2 linked regions of the Sus scrofa genome follow. Each later gene encodes a partner of the first gene's protein in a complex. Links are inferred from orthologs where the notes say so. Each region holds a gene or a part of one and is shown on either strand. Other genes may lie near its edges. The genes, in order: TPRKB and GON7.

Region 1 (11,820 bases):
TTCCAAATGCAGTAGTTTGCATCTGCTAACCCCAAACTCCCAGTCCATCTCCCTCCCTCCCCCTCCGTCTTGGCAAGCACAAGTCTGTTCTCCGTGTCCCTGAGTTTGTTTCTTTTCTGTAGATAGGTTCATTTGTGCCCTATATTAGATTCCAGATATAAGTGATAGGGTATTTGTCTTTCTCTTTCTGACTTACTTCACTTAGCATGAGAGTCTCTAGTTCCATCCATGTTGCTGCAAGTGGCATTATTTTGTTCTTGTTTGTGAAAAGATGGTTTTGACTCCCAGGTGGCGGCTGCATGATAGGAGGGCAGGAACTGTGAGCTGAGCACTTCTAGGAGGCCAAACTGTGGATGTGAGTTGGTGGCCCACTGTGGTGGCAGTGGGTATGGAGAGAATTGTATCCGTCAAGATATTAAAAATTGACAAGGAGTTCTCCTGTGGTGCAGTGGGTTAAGGATCTGGCGTTGTCACTGCAGCGGTTTGGGTCCCTGCTGTGGCCCGGGTTTGATTACTGGCCCCTGGAACTTCCACGTGCTGTGGGCAGGGTGAAAAATAAAATTTAAATTGACAAGACTTTTGGATTAGATATGGGATTTGAGTGAGAGGTCAGTATCCAGCAGTGACTCGAAGTTTCTGGACTGAATGAATTATGTAAAAGAAAAGCAAACTATTCTGACGTTTGCTAGAGGTCCTTTTTCCCCTCATGTAAAAACAAAAACCACATTTTTTTTCTCTCTGGTTGTATGTACTCATTATATATTTTGAGTACTCATTGTAGAAAATTCAGCACATAGAAAAATATTTATAGGAGACCTTAGAAATTGCCTTCAATTCTACTGCCCAAGATGGCCATATTTTGGTGTACTTCGTGTTTTTGTTTTCTGGGTGCATCTTCTTTTATAATTGGGTGTACATTTTATCTTTCTGTATTTTTTTTTCCATTGGACCTTGATTATGACTGAACTGCTGTGTGCCAGGACGTTATTCACAAATGTTCTTTTTTTCTTTTGTTACAATAAGAAAAAAGTCAGATGAAATTCCAGCAGGTCAAAGGTAATTTTTCGTTGTATTTTTCTTTCAATTTTGTGTGTGTGTGTATGTGTACCTTTTTTAAAAAACCCACAATTTTATGTTTTGATTTCCACATCAAATGTTTTAGTGTTATTTATTGCTGTTTTTATACATCCTTAAGTACTCTTCAAGACTACAGTTTTTAGTGGTTGTTTAGTGAAAACAAATCCTGTTACTAGTTCTTTTCAGCTTTTACTGTTAGGATAATGATAAGGACCTCTTGTTACATAAACCTTCAGATTGCCAGTTTATTCTTTGAGAAAAATGCTGTAAATGGAACCTCCTAGGTAAAAGGATAAAATGAACCTATCAAATTGCCTCACCCAAATATCTCATTAGGACTGATTGAAATTGTTTTAAAGATCAAATTTTTGCAATGCTTTGTTTTTCTGTGCAAGGATATGTCTTTGTAGTTATTTGTCATGTTTCTCTTATGTCTTTGTATATACCCCGTCCTTTTCTTGTTCAATTTATGTCTATAAAGGGCCAGTATTATTAAAGCATTGTGCCCTCCCTGCTTAAATCCCCATGTGTGAAATGAGTTCTCTGAGTCATGTCATACTTTTCCTCTGTAAGATTATTTTCTTCTTTCGTATTTGTGTCTAGGTGCTGCTAAAACATAAATCAAATGGTGAGATAAGAAAACTAAAAAGGCTAAGAAGTTGGAGTGAGGTTTCATTAATGCTAAAAGTAACCTGTGATCTAAAACATTTTTGGTAATCTGCACCTAGTTGTCTATTGGGGAAACGGCATCTCATCCACGGATCAGAGCCGGACTTACTGCACAAGCAGGGGATCAGGTGGCAACCTTGATCCTTCGCCAGGAATGGTAAAGGAAGCTAGAAACAGCAGGTTTAGGAAGACAGTATACTGTGAGAATGCCAGATGTGTTTTCGGGATAGATTTTTCTATTTTAACACTTTTATATGTTCTTATTAAAGTTACTTTGTTAGGGAGTTCCCAGTGTGGCTTGGCGGTAACAAACGTGACTAGTATCCATGAGGACTCGGGTTGGATCCCTGGCCTTGCTCAGTGGGTTAAGTATCTGGTGTTGCCGTGAGCCGTGGTGCAGGTCACAGATACGGCTCAGATCTGGCCTGGCTGTGGTTGTGGCTGTGGCTGGGGTATATGCAAGCAGCTGCAGCTCTGATTTCAACCCCCAGCTGGGCAACTTCCATATGCCACAGGCACAGCCCTAAAAAGCAAAAAAATATCTCGTTAAGTAAAGATATTTTTTTGTTAGTGACCTACGGTGTTAACTTTTGGTCTTTTGGTCTTGTGCAACAGAATCCTGTCTTATCTATGAAATGCAGTTAACAGAGCAACTGGACCTGTTTCCTGAGTACAGGGTGACCCTTCTGTTATTTAAAGATGTGAAAAATGCTGGAGCCTTGAGAAAAAAGGCCATGGAAGGTGGCATTGACGGCTCATTAATCAACCCTACAGTGGTAAGTACTTGTGGGAAGGAGTGCACTCTGCAGGGAGTTTAAGAATATGAAATATTTCTTGCTGTTACAGGTCAGCCCAAACCTGTTATCTTCAGGTAAAAAGGCCTTGTCCAAGCTGTGGAGTGGAATCAGATTTGGCCGACCTTGAATTAGCAGTGACTAGAAGCCAGAGCACCCCGCCCTAGGAGCTGTCAAAGGCGGTCCAGCCCTGATGTGATCGCAGCTGTCTGGGATCGTCTTCTCCTCTGAAAGAGAAAGTCTGGGAAGGAGGCACTGCATAGTGGTTAAGGGAACACACTGTAGAATCACTGTGACTCAAATCCCAGATATGCCATTTATTATGGCTTTGAGCAAGTGGTAGCTGACCTTTATATAAAGGTGTATTTGGCTCCTGGCATTGTTGCAAGTTGTTTACACACACAGCTGACTCAGTCTTCACGACAACCCATCCGTGACGTCCTAGGATGGTCTGCACCTCTAGATGAAATGCTAAGGCATTTGCTCCGGTTCCCTCGTGGTAACTGAGGACAGCTGGGATTCAGACCTGTTCTTTGCCGTGGTCTCCTCATCCATTACATGTGAATATAACATGGATATCACTGACAGCTGTGGAAAACGAAGGCAAAATGTTGACCATATGGTTTTTCCCATAATAATACCCCTCGGTAAATGTCGTTTTAAAACTTTTTACTATTGGAATTCCTGTGGTGGCTCAGTGGGTTAAGGATCCGGTGTTGTCTCAAGCTGCAGCGTAAGTTGTAGATGCCGCTCATGCCCTGCATTGCGGTGGCTGGGGTGTAGGCCGGCAACTGCAGCTCAGATTCCACCACCAGCCTGGGAACCTCCATATGTCTCAGGTGTGGCCCTAAAATGAAAAAACAAAAAAACCCAGCTTTTTACTATTTATCTAAGTTGCTTACAGTTTTACTTTTTTTTTTTTTTCCTTCCTTTTGTCCTTTTAGGGCCGCACCCGCGGCATGTGGAGCTTCCCAGGCTAGGGGTCTAATCGGAGCTGTAGCCGCCAGCCTACGCCACAGCTCATGGCAACACCGGATCCTTAACCCACTGAGCAAGGCCAGGGATTGAACCCACAACCTCATGGTTCCTAGTCGGATTTGTTAACCACTGAGCCACGACGGGAACTCTTGCTTGCAGTTTTAAAATTCTTTTTTCTTTTTTTTTTTTTACTGAACACTCAGGCCTTGAGATTATGAAAAAATTTAAAAATGTAGTCCATAGGAACTGGGATGAAGTAAAACACTGACCCTGGAGATAGCACGCTATGGGGCACATGTCTTCAGCGTACTCCAGATTCTCTGTGTATAATATTTTTTGTTCTCTTTGGTAGATTGTCGATCCATTTCAGATACTTGTGGCAGCAAACAAAGCAGTTCACCTCTACAAACTGGGGAAAATGAAGACAAGAACTCTATCTACGGAAATTATTTTCAATCTTTCCCCAAATAATAATGTAATTAATATTTATTTACTTTATAATTGTTGACCTTGTCATGATAGCCTGTGTGTTACTTGGTGTTGGGTTGGAGCCTGTTAATACTAAACCAAAACAATAGTGAAGACAGCTCTGGACAGAGTTGGGGTTTAGCACTGCTCTCTTACTAGGCAAATAAGCTTTGGAGACGCTTCACATGTGTGTAAACAAAAATTTAGCTAAATTAAGAGGATAGTTTTAATTTGTCCTTCTTACCACGTAGAGTCAGGAAGATCACTAAATGATATCTGAATGATTAGCCATGGATGCCTGAGTGTTGTCATGCGTATCTTTCATTCTGCCTGTAAACTCTTTGAGGATAGCATCCATGTCTCTTCCATATACCAGAAGCCTGCCTGGTACCTAAAACAGCCCTTAACACATGCTCTCTCACACACCCACTGCATGTAACAGTTTGTGGTTTCAGATACTGCTAGTAATCAAAGTTATTGAGTTAAAAACATTCCACCTGGAGCCATTAAAAAAACAACACTGTAATTTTGCTGATGAAGAAGTTTTAGTGTTCCTACTACTGTTAAAACAAGCAAGTGCTGACATCAAGAGAAAACTTAGGAAAACTGTGGCAAGGTTTAAAATACAGATGTTTAGGAAGCTTATAAAATGCATGGTAGGAGAACTCCCCAGTACTTGGGGGAAAAATCACTCCATAAATATTGTTTGAGATCAGTGAAATAACTCAAGAGACTAAGCAATTCATAAACAATTATTGAGTTGTCCCTGTGTCAGTTCTAGGGGCAGAAAAAAAACAAAAATGTTCCTGAACAAGGCAGATGAACTAGACACAAAATTCAAATGCCCTAAGATAATTGATATACGAGGGCTCTCCAGGCAGAGGACAGAGTATGAGCATAGACAGAGAAGCATGAGATGACAGGCTCTCCAAACAGTCCTAAGTGGCTAGAGGGTCACTTGGGGTTGGGGGGTGGGAGGGATGGTTTGTGCAGGAAGGGGCTGTGGAAGAGAACAACTGTAGGCAGAACCATTAGGATCTAAAAAATAAGAATCTGACCTGGAAAGAGTGGCAAGGGGGAGGTGTTTCAGATGAATCTACTGATTTTCTCCCCCCCGCCCCACCTTTAGATTTCAGAGGCCTTGAAAAAATTTGGTATTTCGGCAAATGACACTTCAGTTCTAATTGCTTATATTGAAGAGGGAGAAAAACAAATAAATCAAGAAGACATCATATCTCAGGTAGAAGGTCATCAAGTTCCTTTGAAAGAACTCACTGAAATAACAGATATTACAGAAGTCAAAAAGGTTTGTAAATCTGAATTTCTGGAAAGAGCATGATAGATGTGAATAATGTTTGCTTATTTTTCACCAGTGCTTCTATGTTTTTTTTAACTTTTAAGAAAGTTAATGTAATAAAGTATTACTTGGCATTCCTCTCATGGCTCAGTGGTTAACAAATCGACTAGGAACCATGAGGTTGCAGATCTGATCCCTGGCAGTGCTCAGAGGGTTAAGGATCCGGCATTGCCGTGGGTGTAGGTCGCAGACACGGCTCGGATCCGGTGTTGCTGTGGCTCTGGTGTCAGCTGGCGGCTACAGCTCCGATTCAACCCCTAGCCTGGGAACCTCCATATGCCACGAGTGTGGCCCTAGAAAAGGCAAAAAGACAAAAAAAAAAAAAAAAAAAAAAATTACTTGAAAAATAATTACAGGTGCAAAGAATTGGAAGATGCAGAATTACATAAGATACAGTTAGAAACTTACTTGATAAGATCATTCTTCAAAAAAGATAACTTTAACTATCAAACTTACGTAGTACATTTGAAATATAAAATAATTATAGTATGAAGTTACTATCTAGATGTGTGCTTTTAAAATTAATATATGAGTTCCTGTCATGGCTCAGCAGAAACGAATCTGACTAGTATCCATGAGGACACAGATTCCATCCCTGGCCTCGCTCAGTAGGTTAAGGATCCAGCATTGCTGTGGCTGTGGCGTAGGCAGGCAGCTGCAGCTCCAATTCAGCCCCTAGCCTGGGAGTCTCCATATGCTGCAGGTGCAGCCCTAAAAAGACGAATACAATAAATACATAAAAATTTATTTGTTTAGAGTCATCACCATAACTAAAAAAGAGTGCTTTTGACAGTGATAAATTTCCATCTACTTTTCATACTTTAACTACGTTGTGATTTCATGCCATCATTCCAATAACTGAGTGATAATTTCACTTATACATGTTTGTATAATAAAAATAAATCGTGCATGAACATATTAGCATGTCATAATCTGTCTTTTATTTTTACAGATATATAAACTGTCTTCACAAGAAGAAAGAATTGGGACATTATTGGATGGTATCATTTGTAGAATGTCAACAAAAGATGTTCTGTAAAATAATAAATATATTAAAAATTTTCAGCATTTATAAAAAACTGGTTTTTTTCCAGATTATAAAAATCTATTTTGTTCATCATAGAAAATTTTAAAGCAGAATGGCAGCAAAGGGGAAAAAAAAAACACTCCTGGTCTTATCCCTAATATTTTAAAAAATAACCAGTTAGTATTATGCTATTGTCTTGCTTTCTATTTCTGTTCAAATAGGTTTTATTTTTATATAATTAGAAAAATTGCAGACATTTATCGGATGTGTACAGTGTACTAGGTTCTCGTCTTTCTATGACTTTCTATCCAGCAGCCCATATTCCTGCACTTATTTCTGGCTACTGCAGCATTGCCCTTCCAAGCCTCCTGGTTCCAGGTTTTTACATGCAAGAATATGTTTAATTCTAAGAGTGTCACATGAGGTAGATATACCCGCATTTTACACAAAGGCAACTAAAAGCTTGTAGAAATAACAGGTAACTTGCCCGAGTTTTACAGCTAAAAATCATGTTTTATAAGTGGTTTTGGATTTTTTTTTCTCATTTTGTCTTAAAATATGATTGTATCAGTCAAGGTAGAATAGGATAGGGATCAACAAACTTTCTGTGAAAGACCAGATAGTAAATATTTTCGGTTTTAAAGGCCACCTGGTGTTTGTTGCTTCTACTCGGCTCTTGCTGTTCTAGTGCAGAAGCATACACAGACAGTGTAAAAAAAAAAAAAAAAAAAAGTATTCCAGGGAGTTCCCCAGTGGCTCAGTGGGTTAAGGATCCAGGAGCTGTTTTTGCTGTGGTGTGGGTTCTATCCATGGCCTGAAAACTTCCACATTCAGCAAGAAAAAAAATCTTCCAGTAAAACTTTATTTACAAAAATAAGCAATGGGCAAGATTTGACCTGAGGGCAATGGTTTCTGGACTCGGGGGTGGGGGGTAGGTTAGGCTGTAATTAGGGTCCCTAAAGCTCACTGCCTTCGTACCACAAAAATTCGTGTCTGGCTCACTCTGCAGTGTGACTCAGTAGGAAGGTTCACTGCAGTGACTCGGGAATCCAGGCTGCTGAAGGCTTTATGTCAATATGTGCTCTGTGGGTCACAGCCTGGCTAGAAGGCATGCTGTGAATTACACAGTGACTCTTAAAGCTCCCACATGGAAATGACAGGTGCTTAGATTCATATTTCACTGTCCAGTCACATAGCCATGCCAGCGTCATAAAGGGTGGCGGAATGGGGTCCTCCCCTGTGCTGGAGAGGGAGAGGTAGAAATCCTTAGGGGACAGATATTTCCACTGTGGTCATAAATAGTAAAGTATAAATGTGCATTGCTTTGAATGCAGTGAATACGGCGCTAAGCATTTTATATGCACTGCCTCATATGGTTCTCTCTACAACCCCGAGATTTTAACACAGCAAGGAAGTAAATTTAGTCTCTGAAGTTATTTCAAAAAATTTCAGAAGTTCCCGTCGTGGCACAGTGGAAACGAATCCGATTAGTAACCATGAGGTTGTGGGTTCGATCCCTGGCCTTGCTCAGCGGGTTAAGGATCCGGCATTGCCATGAACTTTGGTGTAGTTCGCAGATGCTGCTCAGATCCCGAGTGGCTGTGGCTGTGGCTGTGACACAGGACAGCAGCTACAGCTCCGATTTGACCCCTAGCCGGAACCTCCATATGCTGCGGGTGCAGCCCTAAAAGACAAAAGAATAATAATAATTCAAACCTACAGAACAATTGGATAGTACAGTCACCATCTGTATGCCTTTCATGTGAATTCACCATTTGTTAACATCTTGCTACCTTTGCTTGCTCTCTTCCTGCATGAGTAAGGCACAGGCATACACACCTGTTTTCTGAAACATTGTGTTTAGTTGTCATGTCTCTTAGTCTCCTTTAGAAAAATCTTTTTCAGAAAAAAAAAGTCGAGGAGTTCCTGTCCTGGTTCAGCTGAAACGAATCTGATTAGTATCCATGAAGACACAGGTTCAATCCTTGGCCTCACTCAATGGGTTAAGGATCTGGCGTTGCCATGAGCTGTGGTGTAGGTCACAGACCTGGTTTGGATCTGGTGTTGCTGTGGCTGTGATGCAGGCTGGAGGCTACAGCTCCTATTTGACCGCTAGGCTGAGAACCTCCATATGCTTGTGGGTGCCAAAAAAAAAAGTTGACATTTTTTGAAGAGTACCCTATGTCTTTCAGAATTTCAGAATGCGTTCACGATTTGAGTCAGTTTAAATATTTTTGGGAATGAGGAGCTCGGGCTGTGGTGCAATGGGATTGGCAGTGTCTTGGGAGCACTGAGACACAGTTTCAATCCCCACCCCCAAGCACAATGGGTAATCTGATCCCTGGCCTGGAGCGCCATGTGCTGTGGGGTGGCCAGAAATGAAAAAAAGAAAAAGAAAAAAAACACATTATATATATATTATATATATATATCCAGGGGAATGACAGTAGATAGATTTTGTGTCCTTCTGCTTGCATGTCATCAGGAGGCACGTGATATCAGTTGGCCCCATCAGTGGTGTTAGTTTGGTCACTTCGTTATGGTGGTCCCCCTAGACCTCTCCATTATGAAAGCATCTTTCCCCCTGAAGCTTACAGAGTCAAAGCTGCTCTAAGACTCAAAGTGCTGGTGGTCAAGATTAAAACTCAGATTGGAGTGACCCCAGATCCTGTGATCCTAACGACTCCATCACAAAGCCTTCTCCCATGCCATTACTCTCAAACATGTTTTTTGGGGGTTGTCTTTTCTTTTTAGGGCCGTACCTGCTGCATATAGAAGTTCCTGGGCTAGGAGTCGACAGCTGCAGTTGCTGGCCTAAACCACAGCCACTGCAATGCGGGATCTGAGCCTCGTCTTCGACCTACACCACAGCTCACAGCAAATGCCGGATCCTTAACCCACTGCGCGAGGCCAGGGATCGAACCTGCATCCTCACCAATACTAGTCAGGTTTGTTGGCACTGAGCCACAACAGGACCTCCCCAGCGCCTTCTTTTTAGAAGGAGCCCAGTGGCTCACAGGCGTCTCAGGCCTCCTGCTGTCATTTTTTTGCTTTTGTCATTAATGACCTTCCCACAGCTACTTGTCTGCAAACCCCAGTAGTCAGTTCCTCTGCTCTGGAACCTGTGCCAGGGTTGAGGCTGCCTCTCTGTTCCTGGCTGTGTTTGCTGACTGTTAAGCCATCAGCACAACAACACTGAGTAAAGCATCTATGTTGATTGTTCTCAGAATGAGCAAAGTTTGCATTTACCAAATTTGCCCGTTGTGACTGTTTTCCTCATCCTCTGTGCCAGTTATCTCCATATCTCCATTCTGGTTTTGAGTTCCCAGTAGAAGTCTGGGGCACTGACCTGAGGTTGGGTTGACTGATGAGAGGTCAGGGGAGATGCTGTTCTTTTCAGGACGTTTTCTTCCTCCTCTGAGACTTCCAAAACACATTGCCACATGACTGGCTACCTTCCATCTCAATGGCCCATTTCTAGGCAGGGCTGGGCTGTTACACAGGTATACTTCATAATTTGCAAGCACGGAATTTCAGCGACATGATGTTCTCAAATCCCAACTCTGGGAATAAAAATGATTCCAAAAAGTATAATTATATATCATAATCGGGTTCCTATGGGCAATAGAAAAGTAAAATAATTTATCAGGGTACTTGTAACTTTTCTTTTCTTTTTAGGGCCATACCTGCGGCATATGAAAGTTCCCAAGTTGGGGGCTGAATAGGAACTGTAACTGCCGGCCTACACCACAGCTGTAGCAATGCAGGATCCAAGCTGGGTCTGTGACCTACACCACAGCTCACGACCACACCAGATCCCTGACCCACTGAGTGAGGCCAGGGATCAAACCCGCCTCCTCATGGATTTTAGTCGGTTTGTTACAGATGAGCCACCATAGGAACTCTCAAAGGTCATGGTAACTGTTAAACTGTAATAAGTGAACAGTTACTTGTTAAGCAAGTAATAAATTAACAGCAATGTAAGTGCTTAATGAGGAAGTGCCAAGGCTTCAGAGAAGGGAACAGATACAAGATCCATCTGGTTGGTAAGGGTCAGAAATCTTGATGGAAAAGGTAACACTGAACTGGATCTTGAAGAAAGAACAGAGTCTTAGTCACAGATTGGAATTTGGTCAAGTATGGCCTGGTCACTGGTGATAGAGGTGTGATGAGGCCTGGAAGTGAATCCTGATCCTACCAGGCAGAGCTGATTCTCCTGGCATACACAATTCACCAAACACTTGTCCAATTGGGATCAGCATGTGGTACTGAAAAAGCAAAATGTTCAGGCCTTCGAGTCTGAACTGCCGTTTGAGCCCCAACCTGCCACGTTCTGTGGCATAGGTAGGATATCTCAGGTTTGTGGGCCTCTGTTTCCCATTGTAAAGTGGAAACATGAATATCAACCTAAGCTCTTAGGTTACAATGAATATCAAATAGTACAGCAGAGGGGAGTTCTCTTGTGCAGCCATGAAGGATTCGGCGTCACTGCAGTGACTCGGGTTGCTGCTGTGGTGTGGGGTTGATACTTGGCTTGGAAACTTCTGCATGCCACGGGTGAGGCCAACCCCCCCTGCCCCCCCCCCAAAGCCCCAAAATGGTACAGCGTAGGAAAAACATTTTCTTACAGTTCCAGGCATCGAATTTCTCAGGAATAACAGCTATCTCTTTCTCTCAGTACACCAGGCAAAGTGCTGATAGTAAAATAAGACTTACTGCTGGTGGGAAAGTAAAACATGGACAACAGTCTGGCAATTTCTCAAAATGTTAAAATAGAGTTACCATATGACCCAGCAGTTCTACTCCTAGGTATATACAAAAGAACTGAACACAGGTCCTGAAACAACCACCTGCAAAGAATGTTCACAGCAGCACTATTCACAGTAACCAAAAGGTGGTTAGAACTCCAATGTCCATCAGTGGATAACTGCCTACACAAAGGCTGTCTCTCTGTACAATGGAATATTATGTAGCCATAAAAAGCAACGAGGTACTGATAAAACACGAGGATGGAGATGTACCTTGAAAACAAAAGTGAAAGAAGCTGAATGTGAAATCACATATTGCATGATTCCATTTAAATGAAACATCCAGAATAGGTAAATCCATAGAGACAGAAAGCAGGTTAGTGGTTGCCATGGGCTCAGGAGAACTGGAAATAGGGAGTGATTGCCTCCTGGCTAAGGGGTCTCCTTCTGGGGAGATGAAAACGCTTAGCAACTAGATAGAGGTGGTAATTATACGACATTGTGAATGTACTGAATTAGACGCATTTACATGGTTAAAGATAATAGAATGAAAGTATTAACACATCTGCCTTACCTTTAGGAGTTCACAGTCTCAGCTGGGTCTGTTTAGATTCAAGAGTTGGCAGAGGCTAAAACAGGTAGATTCTCAAGCAGTTCCATCATCTGAAAGTGGGGCCAAGAGCCTGGAATGTGCTAAACTTC
Region 2 (12,549 bases), on another chromosome or scaffold:
AGCAGACAGGCAGGCAAAGAGAGAGAGGAAGGGCAAAAGTTCTGGTCTTGAGAAAGTCCTGTCCAACAGTTCATTCTCATGATGAAGAATGAGAAGGGCTGGTATCTGAACAAGTTATAGCTCCAGCCCCGACTCATAAGAAGGGGTAAATCTAAAATTCTTCACAATCCCCAAATCCCCCCCTGAAGAGCTAGAGGCCCAGATATGACAAGAGGCTGAGAAGTGAAGGCTAAAGATGACACGCTTCCAGAGCTAACTTCCAGGCCTCTTACCTCATCCTCAGGATCAGGATAAGGTCTCTTGCAAATGCAGTACAATCCAAAAAAGTTGTCATTGTACTTATTGCTAGAATTTATCTTTGCTTTATCCTGAAAGATATTAATTTCAACATATAATACGTTCTAATTTTAACTAGAATTTCAAGCATCATAAAATTTATTCATTTAGTAAATGTGTGCTTTAATATCTCTCCCCCCACAAACTGGTCTTTAACTTTCAAAAGACAAAGAGAAAAAAATTCATTCCTATTAAAGAGATGCATTTTCCAGGATACAGGGAAAAAAATAAAATTTATTTTCTATATTTTCTTTGTAGCAATCGGGGAAAAACAAATCATAAATATTAATTATCAACCTAAATAAATTGACATTGGCTGAGAATTTCAAAATATTTCTTAAAATCCCCAGCTGTGATATTTTCTTTTACTTCTATTACTTCAGTGAAAGTTATTGTATAAGCACAGTTTTTATTAAGAAATTAAAAAAAACTCCTGAGTGCACATAACCTGTGCTCATTATTAGTAAGTTTTATTTATTCAGTTTTTAAAGTCATACCCTTTGATTTAAAAGCCTTAAAGCATAAGCCTAATCATGCTTTAGAACATTCCCCCCAAAACCTTCCATGTTAATTAGAATCTATGCTGCAGGCTCTTTACACGTTACTTAGTTTTCCAAGAAGTAAAAAATGAGATACAGCCTAATAGTGATTTGCCCATTTGCAAAGGATAAGCATAAGAATTCCCTCTTTGGAAAATATTTGTTTTTTATCCACTTGGACAAATATCAGTCTCAGCTACTTTTCATGCATTTATAGTTTTCAGTGCTTACTTACAGGAAATAATTTGCATTCCAAATTTTTAAACTTGCTGTTTCCACAATCACAACGAAAATTTCTGAAACAAGGAAGACACAATTTCAGTTGTTTTTCTTTTAAATCTAATGACTTACTTTTTAAATTCATATCACACCCTCTTCCCTTTCAACTTGCTTCTAAGATCTAATTAGTGGCCTTGGTTATTGTTCACGTATCCAATCCAGAATTTCTCCAAACACATGACAATGAAAGATTTAATAATTCTAGAAATTAACACACATAGACAAATATCTGTATCACACACACATGCATAATGGCAGAATAGCATGAATATGAATAGTTTGAGTTTGCACCATTCTATTTTAAAAGGTCCTTTGGAATAACTATTTTCTCCAACTATAGTACATAAAAGTTACATTAAATTTTGCCAGTGCACAACCACTTTGATGAAAAAACAAGATTAAGAAAAAATATGCAACTGTGAAAGCGTCTAAACATTTAAAAAGTATTCGGGGCAGGGGGAGTGGGATCGACTGGGAGCTTGGGGTTAGTAGATGCAAACTATTGCACTGGGAGTGGATAAGCAGTGAGGTCCTGCTGTACAGCACAAGGAACTATATCCAATCACTTGGGATGGAACATGATGGAGAATAATGTGAGAAAAAGAAAGTGGGTATATATACATATATATATATGTTTAACTGGGTCACTTTACCATACAGCAGAAACTAAATCAACAGAACACTAAATCAACTATAATAAAAAAAAACTTTAATAAAAATAAAAAAAAAGTATTCAGCACCAATCTCTGTTTTACCTTTTTGTGTATAGCTCAAATAGTTTATGACTTCCATGACATTCATAACTGCAAGCTAGGCAAATTCCTGCTGGTTCTTCTCCCTCTGGGGTGCAAGTACTACAGGCATACAGTGCTTGTCTCTTTACTGAGCCCTAAAAGACAGCCCCAAAATGGAAAAAGAGAGAGAATAAATTGATGAAATATGCCTAATACCCATACTATGATCTGAGAAATTTTTGCAGTCAGATTATCTGTGGTCAAGATCTTCCTGTAAAAATCACTGGGACTAAAAAAAAGCTTATACAACAGAGTACCAAACACTGTTGCACATTTCATATACTAGTGTTTGTTTCTGTATAATTTCTTCTTAAAGCGATAGAACTTTAAGGTTTTTAGTCAGCTGTGAATTAGCCAGTCTGCTTAATCACTTTAATACATGAAAATGTATGATAATGGGAGTTCCCGTTGTGGCTCAGTGGGTTAAGAACCCAACTAGTATTCATGAGGATGCAGGTCTGATCCCTGGCCTCACTTGGTGGGTTAAGGATCCAGCATTGCTTCAAGATGCAGTGTAGGTTGCAGATGGGGCTCCAATCCCGTGTCTCTATGGCTGTGACGCAGGCTGGCAGCTGCAGCTCCGATTTGACCCCCAGCCTGGGAACTTCCATATGCCGCAAGTGTGGCCCTAGAAAGAAAAAAAAGAAAATGTAGGAGAATGTGTGTCAGTTTACATAAGTAATAACCATACTTTAATTTTGGAAAATGCTTGTGATTCCACCAAAGAGAAAATCAATGCATTAAAGAATCCCTTTGGAGTTCTCATCATGGCTCAGTGGTTAACAAATCTGACTAGGAGCCATGAGGTTGCAGGTTGGATTCCTGGCCTTGCTCAGTGGGTTAAGGATCCGGCATTGCCATGAGCTGTAGTGTAGGTCCGCAGACGCGGCTTGGATGTGGTGTTGCTGTGGCTCTGGTGTAAGCCGGTGGCTACAGCTCCAATTAGACCCCTAGCCTGGGAACCTCCATGTGCTGCGGAAGTGGCCCTAGAAAAGGCAAAAAATACAAAAAAAAAAAAAAAAAAATCCCTTTGATTCTTAGGATGTATGCTGAAGTATTCAGAAGTGTAGTGTCATGGTCTGCAACTTATTTTCAAGTGGTTCAGAAAGAAAAAAAAGGAAAAAGAATTTACAATGAAAGGGGGAAAGGTAAACAAATGTGGGAAAATGTTGAAAAGTGAATATATATAAAGGTACACAAGTGTTCACAGTATTATTTTTTCAACTTATCTGTAGACTTAAAATGTTACAAAATAAAAACCTGAGAGAAAAACAAGTACAACTTTTAGAAATCCTGATAACGGTCACCGTCTTCTGGGGAGGAAGGAGAGGGACTCATGGAAGCTTCCGGGACGCCAGGAATACTCTACTTCCTGATCTGGATAGTACGTATGTGCATGTGTTTTTGTTTTTGCTTTCCCAAAATTTATACAAGGTTTGTGCAATTTTCCACATGCTCTACTACAATTAAAAAAATATTTTTTAAGGAGTTCCTGTGGTGGCACAGTGGTTACTGAATCTGACTAGGAACCCTGAGGTTGAACGTTCAATCCTTGGCCTTGTTCAGTGGGTTAAGGATCCAGTGGTGCCATAAGCTGCGGTGTAGTTTGCAGAAAAGGATCAGATATGATGTTACTGTGGCTGTGGTGTAGGCCGGCAGCTACAACTCCAATTAGACCCCTAGCCTGGGAACCTCCATATGCCGTGGGTGTGGCCCTAAAAAAACAAACAAAAAAGTGTTTTTTAAGGAAGTCTGTTTTTAAAACCTAACTATATTTCAAAAAATAACTTCTGCACAGACTTAAAAAAAAAAAAAAAAAAAAAGGAAAGCACAGGAGTTCCCACAGTGGCGCAGCAGCAACGAACCCAATGAGGTTGTGGGTTTGATCCCTGGCCTTGCTCAGTGGTTTAAGGATCCGGCTTTGCCATGAGCTGTGGTGTAGGTCACAGATGTGACCCGGATCCCGCGTTCCTGTGGCTATGGCATAGGCCAGCAGCTGTAGCTCGGATTGTACTCCTAGCCTGGGAACCTCCAGCGGTCCCTCCCTAAAACACAAAAAACAAACGAACGAAAGCACAGAAGAAGTTGTTTCGGGGGTGACCAAAGGTTTTAGAATACCAGCCAACATTAAATACATCTGATACCAGGTGTATTAAAAAAAAGCCCTACCCAGTAGTTCCTGTCATGGCTCAGTGGTTAACGAATCCGACTAGGAACCATGAGGTTACGGGTTCCATTCCTGGCCTTGCTCAGTGGGTTAAGGATCCCACGTTGCTGTGGCTCTGGTGTAGGTCAGCAGCTGCAGCTCCGATTCGACCCCTAGCTTGGGAACCTCCATATGCTGCGGGAGCGGCCCAAGAAATGGCAAAAGAAAAAGAAGAAAAAAAAAACCCTAACCATTCTGCAGTGTAAATTCAACTGGTCAATGATGACAACTGGTATTATGATCTCAGTCCACACCACACAATGACCCTAAGTCTCTCTCCTCACCCTCCAACGTTCCACTCCACACGCCCCCCGCCAAGGAACCTTCCTCCTACCAATTCTCACCTCTTATTAGTTTTCTTCTACCCACCTTTCTCCATTTTTGTACCTAGAATATAGGATGAGTCACCCAACACTACATCACACCCCCTCAAAGCCTTGTTCACAACATCTTCCAAGTGCTCGCTCTCCTCCCCTACCCCCACCCCTTCGCCAGAGCCACCAGCTGTTCGGGTTCCGGTCTATCCTCCTGGGTAGCAGACTGCACAGAGACATGGTACTTGCTTCCTCTCGCCAAAAAACCAGATAGCACTTGTCAAACTAAATTGCAGAGGACCAGCTGTCCAAGTGCCCAGCCCACATGGGGAGATTTTCAGATCCAGAGATCTCTCCTTTATCTCTGCTTTGACTCCCACCTGGTTCCTAATAAATACTAAGGATGGGAAAATTAGGGACAAAGATGTCTGGATTTGAGAGGACACGAGGATGGTTTCGTGAAAAACACCCGGGGCACCGAGAAGAGACGGGAGAGGAAGGAAAGGCTGCTCCAGGGTCAAAGCCTAGAGATCCTGGGGGGTCGGAGGAAAACCGAGGGACGAAGGGGGCCCTGCCGGACACAAGCAGAGGAAGGGGGCTCACGAGACTAAGGGTAAAAGGGCGGCTGAGCCTGGGATGAGGAAGCCTATGACAAACAGTGACCCCGGACTACCACGGAGGTGCCGGCCTCGGCAGGCGGGAAGAGGGAAGGTAAGTCCGGGAAGAGAAGGTCCAGGGGAGCCGGGGGAGGTAAGGCCCGGCCGCGCGCCCACCTGCGAGTAGGAGCACTTCTCGGAGTCGCTGCCGCCTAGTACGGCGCACGCCTCATTCTCCAGCTCCTCGTCCTCCTCAAGTACATCGACCAACGATACCACGGGCTCCAGCTCCGACTGCCGCCCCGCGGTCCCCTCGGCTCCAGCCATCCTCAACTGTCACCCGGACCGCCGCTCAGCCCCGGCGGAGGCGGGAAAAGCGGGCGCGAGGGGCGGGGCCGTAGGAGGCGGGGCCTGGGTGCCTGGAACCAATCCCAAAGACGCCGAGAGAAGGAAGGGGGAGGAGCGACTTCCGACAAACGGAAGTCACTCCTCTTCCTTCTCCCGCCTGCGCCCGCGCTTGGCTGGTTTCCGCTTCCGGGTGGCGTATCCCTGTGGCGCGTTCTTGAAGCTCAGCGGTCGCCATGGAGCTGTTGGGCGAGTATGTCGGGCAGGACGGGCAGCGGCAGCGGCTACGAGTGCCCTGTGAGGCGCCAGGCAATGCCGACCATTTCCAGGGCTTGCTGTCGGGCGTGGCTCGGATGAAGGAGCTGGTGGCCGAGCTCTTCGGTTCCCCGGTACAGGGGGAAGCTCAGGACCGGGTGGCGGCGGCTCCAGAAGAGGCCTTGGACGGTGAGCTCTGGGATGGTGCTGGAGCGACTGGAGGGAGGGCAGGGGCGCCCCGGGAAAAATCTCAGGGAGCCCGTGTAAAACAGCAGACTGGAGAAAACTGGAGGAAGAAGGATTCCTACTAAAAATTGTTAGCACCTTCCGCCAACTCTAGGCCTAACCTGGGCTCACCTAGCAGGGCTGTTTTCACGACTCTTTTCATTTATATCACACACACACACACACACATACACGCACACACAAAACCAAAGAAAAGCGGGCCGAACCCCTGCTGCTCTGTGCCAATCATTGGACTGAGCTCTGAAGAAAGAATGAGGGTGAATGCGGCTTAGTTCCTGTCGTTGCGGAATTTTGATGAGTGATTAAACAAGTAAACGCTCTCATTAAAGAGTGGAAAGATGACCCTAGGATCCTCCTATAACTATTCGAACCTAGAGAACCCAGGAAGACCTAATAGTGGGCATGTCTGGCTTTTAAGCTGGGTGTTGAAGGATGAAAAGGAATTCTCCCAGCTGTGAAATTACGTTTGGAAGACTGCGGTCCATCGCAGAATAGGAGCGGGTTCCTAAGATTGGAAGAGATTTCAGATAAACAGGTGTTTACTCTCAGGGACTCCTTTCCTTTCCCGGTTTTGTAGGTGCAGTTTGAAAGTGGAAACGGGAAATTTAACTGGTTTAGTTTTTGGGGGGTTTTTTGTTTTAAGTCTTGTCTTGAATAGGTAGATACATTTTGACTGCCTTAAGCTTAAGAACCTAAGCATTAAATATTGGAATCAGGACTTAACTCCTCTGTACAGGCTCTTAAACTAATAATGTGAAGGAACCAATTCAGAATATTACACAAACTTCAGACAATGGATTGTTTCCGTGAGAGTGAAGTCCTGTTTCTTGACTCCAAAAGTTCCTCTTTAATCAGTTGCAAATTTTATCGTTGGAATAAGGACAGGTATAGGTAGAGCCATTGAAAAAAAAAAAGTGGGAGTTCTCATCATGGCTCAGTGGAAAGGAATCTGACTGATATTCATGAGGACGCAGGTTACATCCCTGGCCTCCTCAGTGGGTTAAGGATCCGGAGTTGCTCTGAGCTATGGTGTAGGTTGCAGACATGACTCAGATCTGGCATTGCTGTATTGCTGTGGTGTAGGCCAGTGGCTATAGTTCCAATTCAACACCTAGCCCAGGAACCTCCATATGCCTCAGGTGCGGCCCTAAAAAGACCAAAAAAAAAAAAAAAAAAAAAAAAAAAATGGAGTTTATCTTTATTTTGGATGAATTCTTTCTTTCTTTTTTTTTTTTTTACGGCCACATCTGCAGCATAGGGAGGTTCCCAGACTAGGGCTCAGAATGGAGCTACAGTTGCCAGCCTACGCTACAGCAACTCCGGATCGGAGCCATATCTGCAACCCACACCACAGCTCACAGCAACACTGGCTTCCCAACCCACTGAGTGAGGCCAGGGATCAAACCCACATTCTCATGGATATTAGTCGGATTCTTTTCTGCTGCACTGCACTGGGAACCCCCAGTGTATGAATAATATCTTAATTAGCAATGCAAAATTTTCAGAAATAACAATTATGAAAGAAAAGTGGTAGAATGCAACACTAAAAAGGCAAATAGTGATCATTTTGTAACGTCTAGAAATATCGGGGCACTGTGTGGTACACTTGGAACTAACAGTGTACTTCAATGGAAAAAAAAATCCTCATGTTGACGAAAAAAGACAGTCAGTTACCAAATGTGCAGAAGACTTGAATAGACAGTTCTCCAAATAAGATATACAAATGGCAAATAAGCACATGAAAAGACGCTCAACGTCATTGGCTTTCAAGGAAAGGCAAATCAAATCACAATGAGATTCCATGTCATGTCCACTAGGAAGGCTGTAATCAGAAAGAACACTAACAGATGTTAGCTAGGATATGAAGAAATTAGAGCCCTCATGTGTTGCTGGTGGAAATGCAAAATAGTGTACCTTCTTTGGAAAGCCGTTTGAAGTTAAAGTTATCATATGATCCAGCAATTCTAGGGATTCTTAATTCCATCCCTAGTTCTCCAAGAGAACTGGAAACATGTTCCCATAAAAAACAAATGCACAAATGTTCATAAGCAGCATTATTCATAATAACTAAAAAGTGGAAATAAGACAAATTACAGCAGATATTGTCAGAACATTGTAAATCAACTATACTTTGATGAAAAATTTTAAAAAACACACAAATGTCCATCTACTCGAGTGGAGAAACAATATGTATATCCATACAATGGAATATTATTTAGCAACAAAAAGGAGTGAAGTACTGATAAATGTTACACTTCATGAATGACCTTTGAAAACATGGTAAGTGAAAGCAGACAGACACAAAAAGGCATGTATTTTGCGATTCATTTACATTAAATGTTAAGAATAGGCAAATCTGGAGTTCCCGTCGTGGCGCAGTGGTTAACGAATCCGACTAGGAACCATGAGGTTGCGGGTTCGATCCCTGCCCTTGATCAGTGGGTTAACGATCCGGCGTTGCCGTGAGCTGTGGTGTAGGTTGCAGACGCGGCTCGGATCCCGCGTTGCTGTGGCTCTGGCGTAGGCCGGCGGCTACAGCTCCGATTCAACCCCTAGCCTGGGAACCTCCATATGCCGCGGGAGCGGCCCAAGAAATAGCAACAACAAAAACAACAACAACAAAAAAGACAAAAGACAAAAAAAAAAAAAAAAAAAAAAAAAAAAAAAAAAAAAAAAAAAAAAAAAAAAGAATAGGCAAATCTAAGAGATGGGAGATGATTACAGTAGGTTAGTGGCTGCCAAAGGCTAAGGGGAATGGGAAATGACTGCTAATTGGTGTAAGATTTCTTTGGGGTTGATGAAAAGTGTTCTAGAATTAGTGGTGAGGGTTGGACAGCCTAGTGAATATCGAAATCAGTAAACTACACTTTTTTTGGGGGGGGGGGGCCACCTGTGGCATATGAAAGTTCCCAGGCTGGGGATAGAATCTGAGCTGCAGCTACAACACACACGGCAGCTACGGCAATGCCAGATCTGTAGCCCACTGTACGCGCTTCTGCAGCGACACGAGCTGCTATATTCGGATCCTTAATTCACTGTACCACAGCAGGAACTCCCGCTGTGAATTTTAGGCGTTCCCGTTGTGGCTTAGTGGTAACAAACCCGACTAATATCCATGAGGATGGGGGTTCGATCTCCAGCCTCCCTCAGTGGGTTTAAGGATTTGGCGTTGCCTCAAGCTGTGGCGTAGGCCGCAGACATGGCTCCAATCTGGCATGGCTGTGGCTGTGGCATAGGCCGGCAGCTGTAGCTATGATTCGACCCCTAGCCTGGAAATTTCCATATGTTTCACCTGTGGCCCTAAAAAGAAACTGTAAAATAAAAGTGAATTTTATGGTATATGAATTACATCTCCAAAAACTGTAATAGGGAGTTCCTGTCATGGTGCAGTGGTTAACGAATCCGACTAGGAACCATGAGGTTGAGGGTTTGATCCCTGCCCTTGCTCAGTGGGTTAAGGATCTGGCATTGCCATGAGCTGTGGTGTAGGTTGCAGATGAGGCTCAGATCCCATGTTGCTATGGCTCTGGTGTAGGCCGGCGACTACAGCTCTGATTCGACCCCTAGCCTGGGAACCTCCATATGCCGCGAGAGCGGCCCAAGAAATGGCAAAAAGACAAAAAAAAACAAAACAAACAAACAAAAAACCAAAACTGTAATAGAAAAGAAAGGTTCTAAATGCCAAAATTCCTAAAGTCTTTAAGCACGCATATTTCCTATTTGGTATATGCATTGTTTTATTAATCCCTAAAGTGAAGTGGTCTCATTATCAACTGTTTTAGCTATCTATATTTATTTCAACCACTGAACATATTGTCATACAACAATGTTTATTTTAAAAGGTGATGATGAAGATGATGCAGAAGATGAAAATAACATTGATAACAGAACTAACTCAGATGGACCAACTGCAAAACGGCCAAAACCACCATCTTAACAGTGGCTTTTATGAAATTTAAAGACTGCCACTATCTTATCACATACTGACATTTAAGGAAGACTTATGTTCTAACGTGGAAAGCATTCACTTTGTTCCCCTGGAACCGTTTTGTCAAAGGAGAAACCTTTCTTCTGTTCCCAATGAAGAAAAATATAATAAATGTTTAGAAATGAATCTCTCTTCTTGATTAAGAAGTAAGTTTCAGACCATGGAAATAAAATAGACATTTAATAAGGTGTAAGATGCTAGGTTGGCAACTGAATTCTTATTGAATTGTGTCATGTCTACCTCTTTTAGCTTCTTTATAAAAAGTACATGTTACAGTTCATGGACAATAACATTTCAAAGAATGATGAGCAAGTGGCAAGAACTGGGTATTTAAAAATGACAGTAGGAGTTCCCATCATGGTGCAGCCGAAACGAATCCGACTAGGAACCATGAGGTTTCAGGTTGGATCCCTGGCCTCGCTTAGTGGGTTAAGGATCTGGCATTACCATGAGCTGTGGTGTAGGTCGCAGACGTGGCCCGGATCCAACGCTGCTCTGGCTGTGGTGTAGGCCGGCAACTGTAGCTCCAATTCGACCCCTGGCCTGGGAACCTCCATATGCCGTGAGTGCAGCCCTAAAAAGCGAGGGGAAAAAAATGGCAGTAGAAGGTAAATGGGAATAGAGAGAAATACTGAAGAGAAAGGAGAGCCCTTGAGAGAAACCCAAGGAAACTTTGAATCCACACTCACACTCAGTTTACAGACATCTGGAGACAATACTACTCAGTGGATATATCTATTCACCTTGTACCTCAAGAGAGTCAAATGGGCTGGGCTTCTGTGCGGTGATGTGCTAATATGTAAACACAAATAGAGGTCTTTTAAGCAACCAGTGCTATGACTTAGATATCTCCTCTTATCCTGCTGCCAAATTTTTATTTTGCTTTACAAAGGACTAACAAATCCTTTAAATATATATATGTGGGGGGGGCTGTATTCTTTTTCTGCTTGGCAGTGGGACTAAGGCATTTTTTATTTACTGTGCATGTTTCCTGATTCATTCAGATAATTAAACTGCAAAGAAACCAAGTAGCATGTACCTGTTGAAACACAAGTGGTCATAGAATTTTAGAGTTGGAAGTAACCTTACAGATTATATGATCTATTTTGGAGGTGATTTGAATCTTAGGTGCTTGCCCTGAGTTACAGAACTTATTGGTGGAACTGGGTTATACACATAGCCCTTATTTATTTTTTTGGCCACCCCCCTGGCATGTGGAAGTTCCTGGGCCAAGGATCAAACCTGCACCACAGCAGCAACCCTAGCCACTGCAGTGACAAACACTGGATCCTTAACCTCTGCACCACAAGAGTACTCCACATAATCTTTAAAGATTACTGTAGTACTTTCCTGTTACACATTCTGAAATCTATAGCTTACAAAGTACATGCTATTAAGGAAACTGAATTTCGCAGGCAAGGGCCTAGGAACTCCATATGCCATGGGGCATCAGAAAAAAAAAAAAACAACAAAAAACTAAACAGACCAACCAATTAGAGAAAGCTTTTATTTATCTTTTTCTAGCTATATCCATGGCATATGAAATTTCCCAAGCCAGGGATCAAATCCGAGCCACAGATGCGAGCCACGCTGGATGCTTAACTGGCTGCACCACAGCAAGAACTCCCAGAGAAAATTTTTAGGTGGTCAGAAAGTACCTTGTTTGTTTAGTTTGTGATAATGTCTCTAATGTTGGGAAATTCAGCTCAGTTACAATAATCTTTTATCTTTTTTTTTTTTTTTGTCTTTTTTTTTTTTTGCCGTTTCTAGGGCCACTCTTGCGGCATATGGAGGTTCCCAGGCTAGGGGTCGAATCGGAGCTGTAGCTGCCGGCCTGCACCAGAACCACAGCAACGCAGGATCCGAGCCACGTCTGCAACCCACACCACAGCTCACGGCAATGCCGGGTCCTTAACCCACTGAGTGAGGCCAGGGATCGAACCAGCAGCCATTCCTAGTTGGATTCGTTAACCATGACGGGAACTCCCAGTAATCTTTTATCTTTATACAGTCCTTAAAAAAAAAACTTACCTGTATACAAATGAACCTATCAAAAAAGAAAATAAAAGAGTTCCCATGATGGCTCAGTCAGTGTTAACGAACCCAACTAGTATCCATGAGGTCAGGGGTTCAATCCCTGGCCTCGCTCAGTAGGTTGAGGATTTGGCGTTGCTGTGAGCCATGGTGTAGGTTGCAGACGTGGCTTGGATCTGGTGTGACTGTGGCTATGGTGTAGACCAGCAGCTACAGCTCCACTAGCTGTAGACTGGGACCCCTAGGCTGGGAACTTCCATATGCCTGGGGTGCAGCCCTTAAAAAAACAACAACAAAAACCAAATAAACTTATCTACAAAACAGAACAGACTCTGTTTTGGAGAACAGACTTTCGGTTGCCTAGGGGGATGGGGAAAAGAGTGGGAAGGACTAGGAATTTGGGGTTAGTAGATGCAAACTATTACATTTAGAGTAGATAAGCAATGAGATCCTACTGTATAGCACAGGAAACTATATCCAGTCTCTTGGGATAGAACATGATGGAAGATAATACAAGAAAGGGGGAGTTCCCATCATGGCTCAGCGGTAATGAATCTGACTAGTATCCATGAGGATGCAGGTTCAATCCCTGGCCTTGCTCACTGGGTTAAGGATCC

The links.
Region 2: TPRKB (region 1) and GON7 share a complex: the UniProt entries of both Homo sapiens proteins name them as parts of the EKC/KEOPS complex. The link is inferred for Sus scrofa from reciprocal best matches to the Homo sapiens genes TPRKB and GON7.

What each region holds. Positions count from the first base shown.
Region 1 is NC_010445.4:69,237,288-69,249,107, forward strand, and holds TPRKB (EKC/KEOPS complex subunit TPRKB), read left to right. Parts: upstream 1-1,056; intron 1,057-1,680; exon of another isoform or gene 1,681-1,705; intron 1,706-1,805; exon of another isoform or gene 1,806-1,903; intron 1,904-2,361; coding exon of another isoform or gene 2,362-2,381; coding exon 2,382-2,522; intron 2,523-3,870; coding exon 3,871-3,993; intron 3,994-5,115; coding exon 5,116-5,292; intron 5,293-6,295; coding exon 6,296-6,382; 3' UTR 6,383-6,408; downstream 6,409-11,820. UniProt on the Homo sapiens protein: Component of the EKC/KEOPS complex that is required for the formation of a threonylcarbamoyl group on adenosine at position 37 (t(6)A37) in tRNAs that read codons beginning with adenine.
Region 2 is NC_010449.5:114,583,848-114,596,396, reverse strand, and holds GON7 (uncharacterized protein C14orf142 homolog), read left to right. Parts: upstream 1-5,592; 5' UTR 5,593-5,645; coding exon 5,646-5,853; intron 5,854-9,752; coding exon 9,753-9,847; 3' UTR 9,848-10,091; downstream 10,092-12,549. Other genes in the region: putative E3 ubiquitin-protein ligase UBR7, read right to left, coding at 273-368, 1,111-1,171, 1,910-2,043, 5,242-5,391. UniProt on the Homo sapiens protein: Component of the EKC/KEOPS complex that is required for the formation of a threonylcarbamoyl group on adenosine at position 37 (t(6)A37) in tRNAs that read codons beginning with adenine.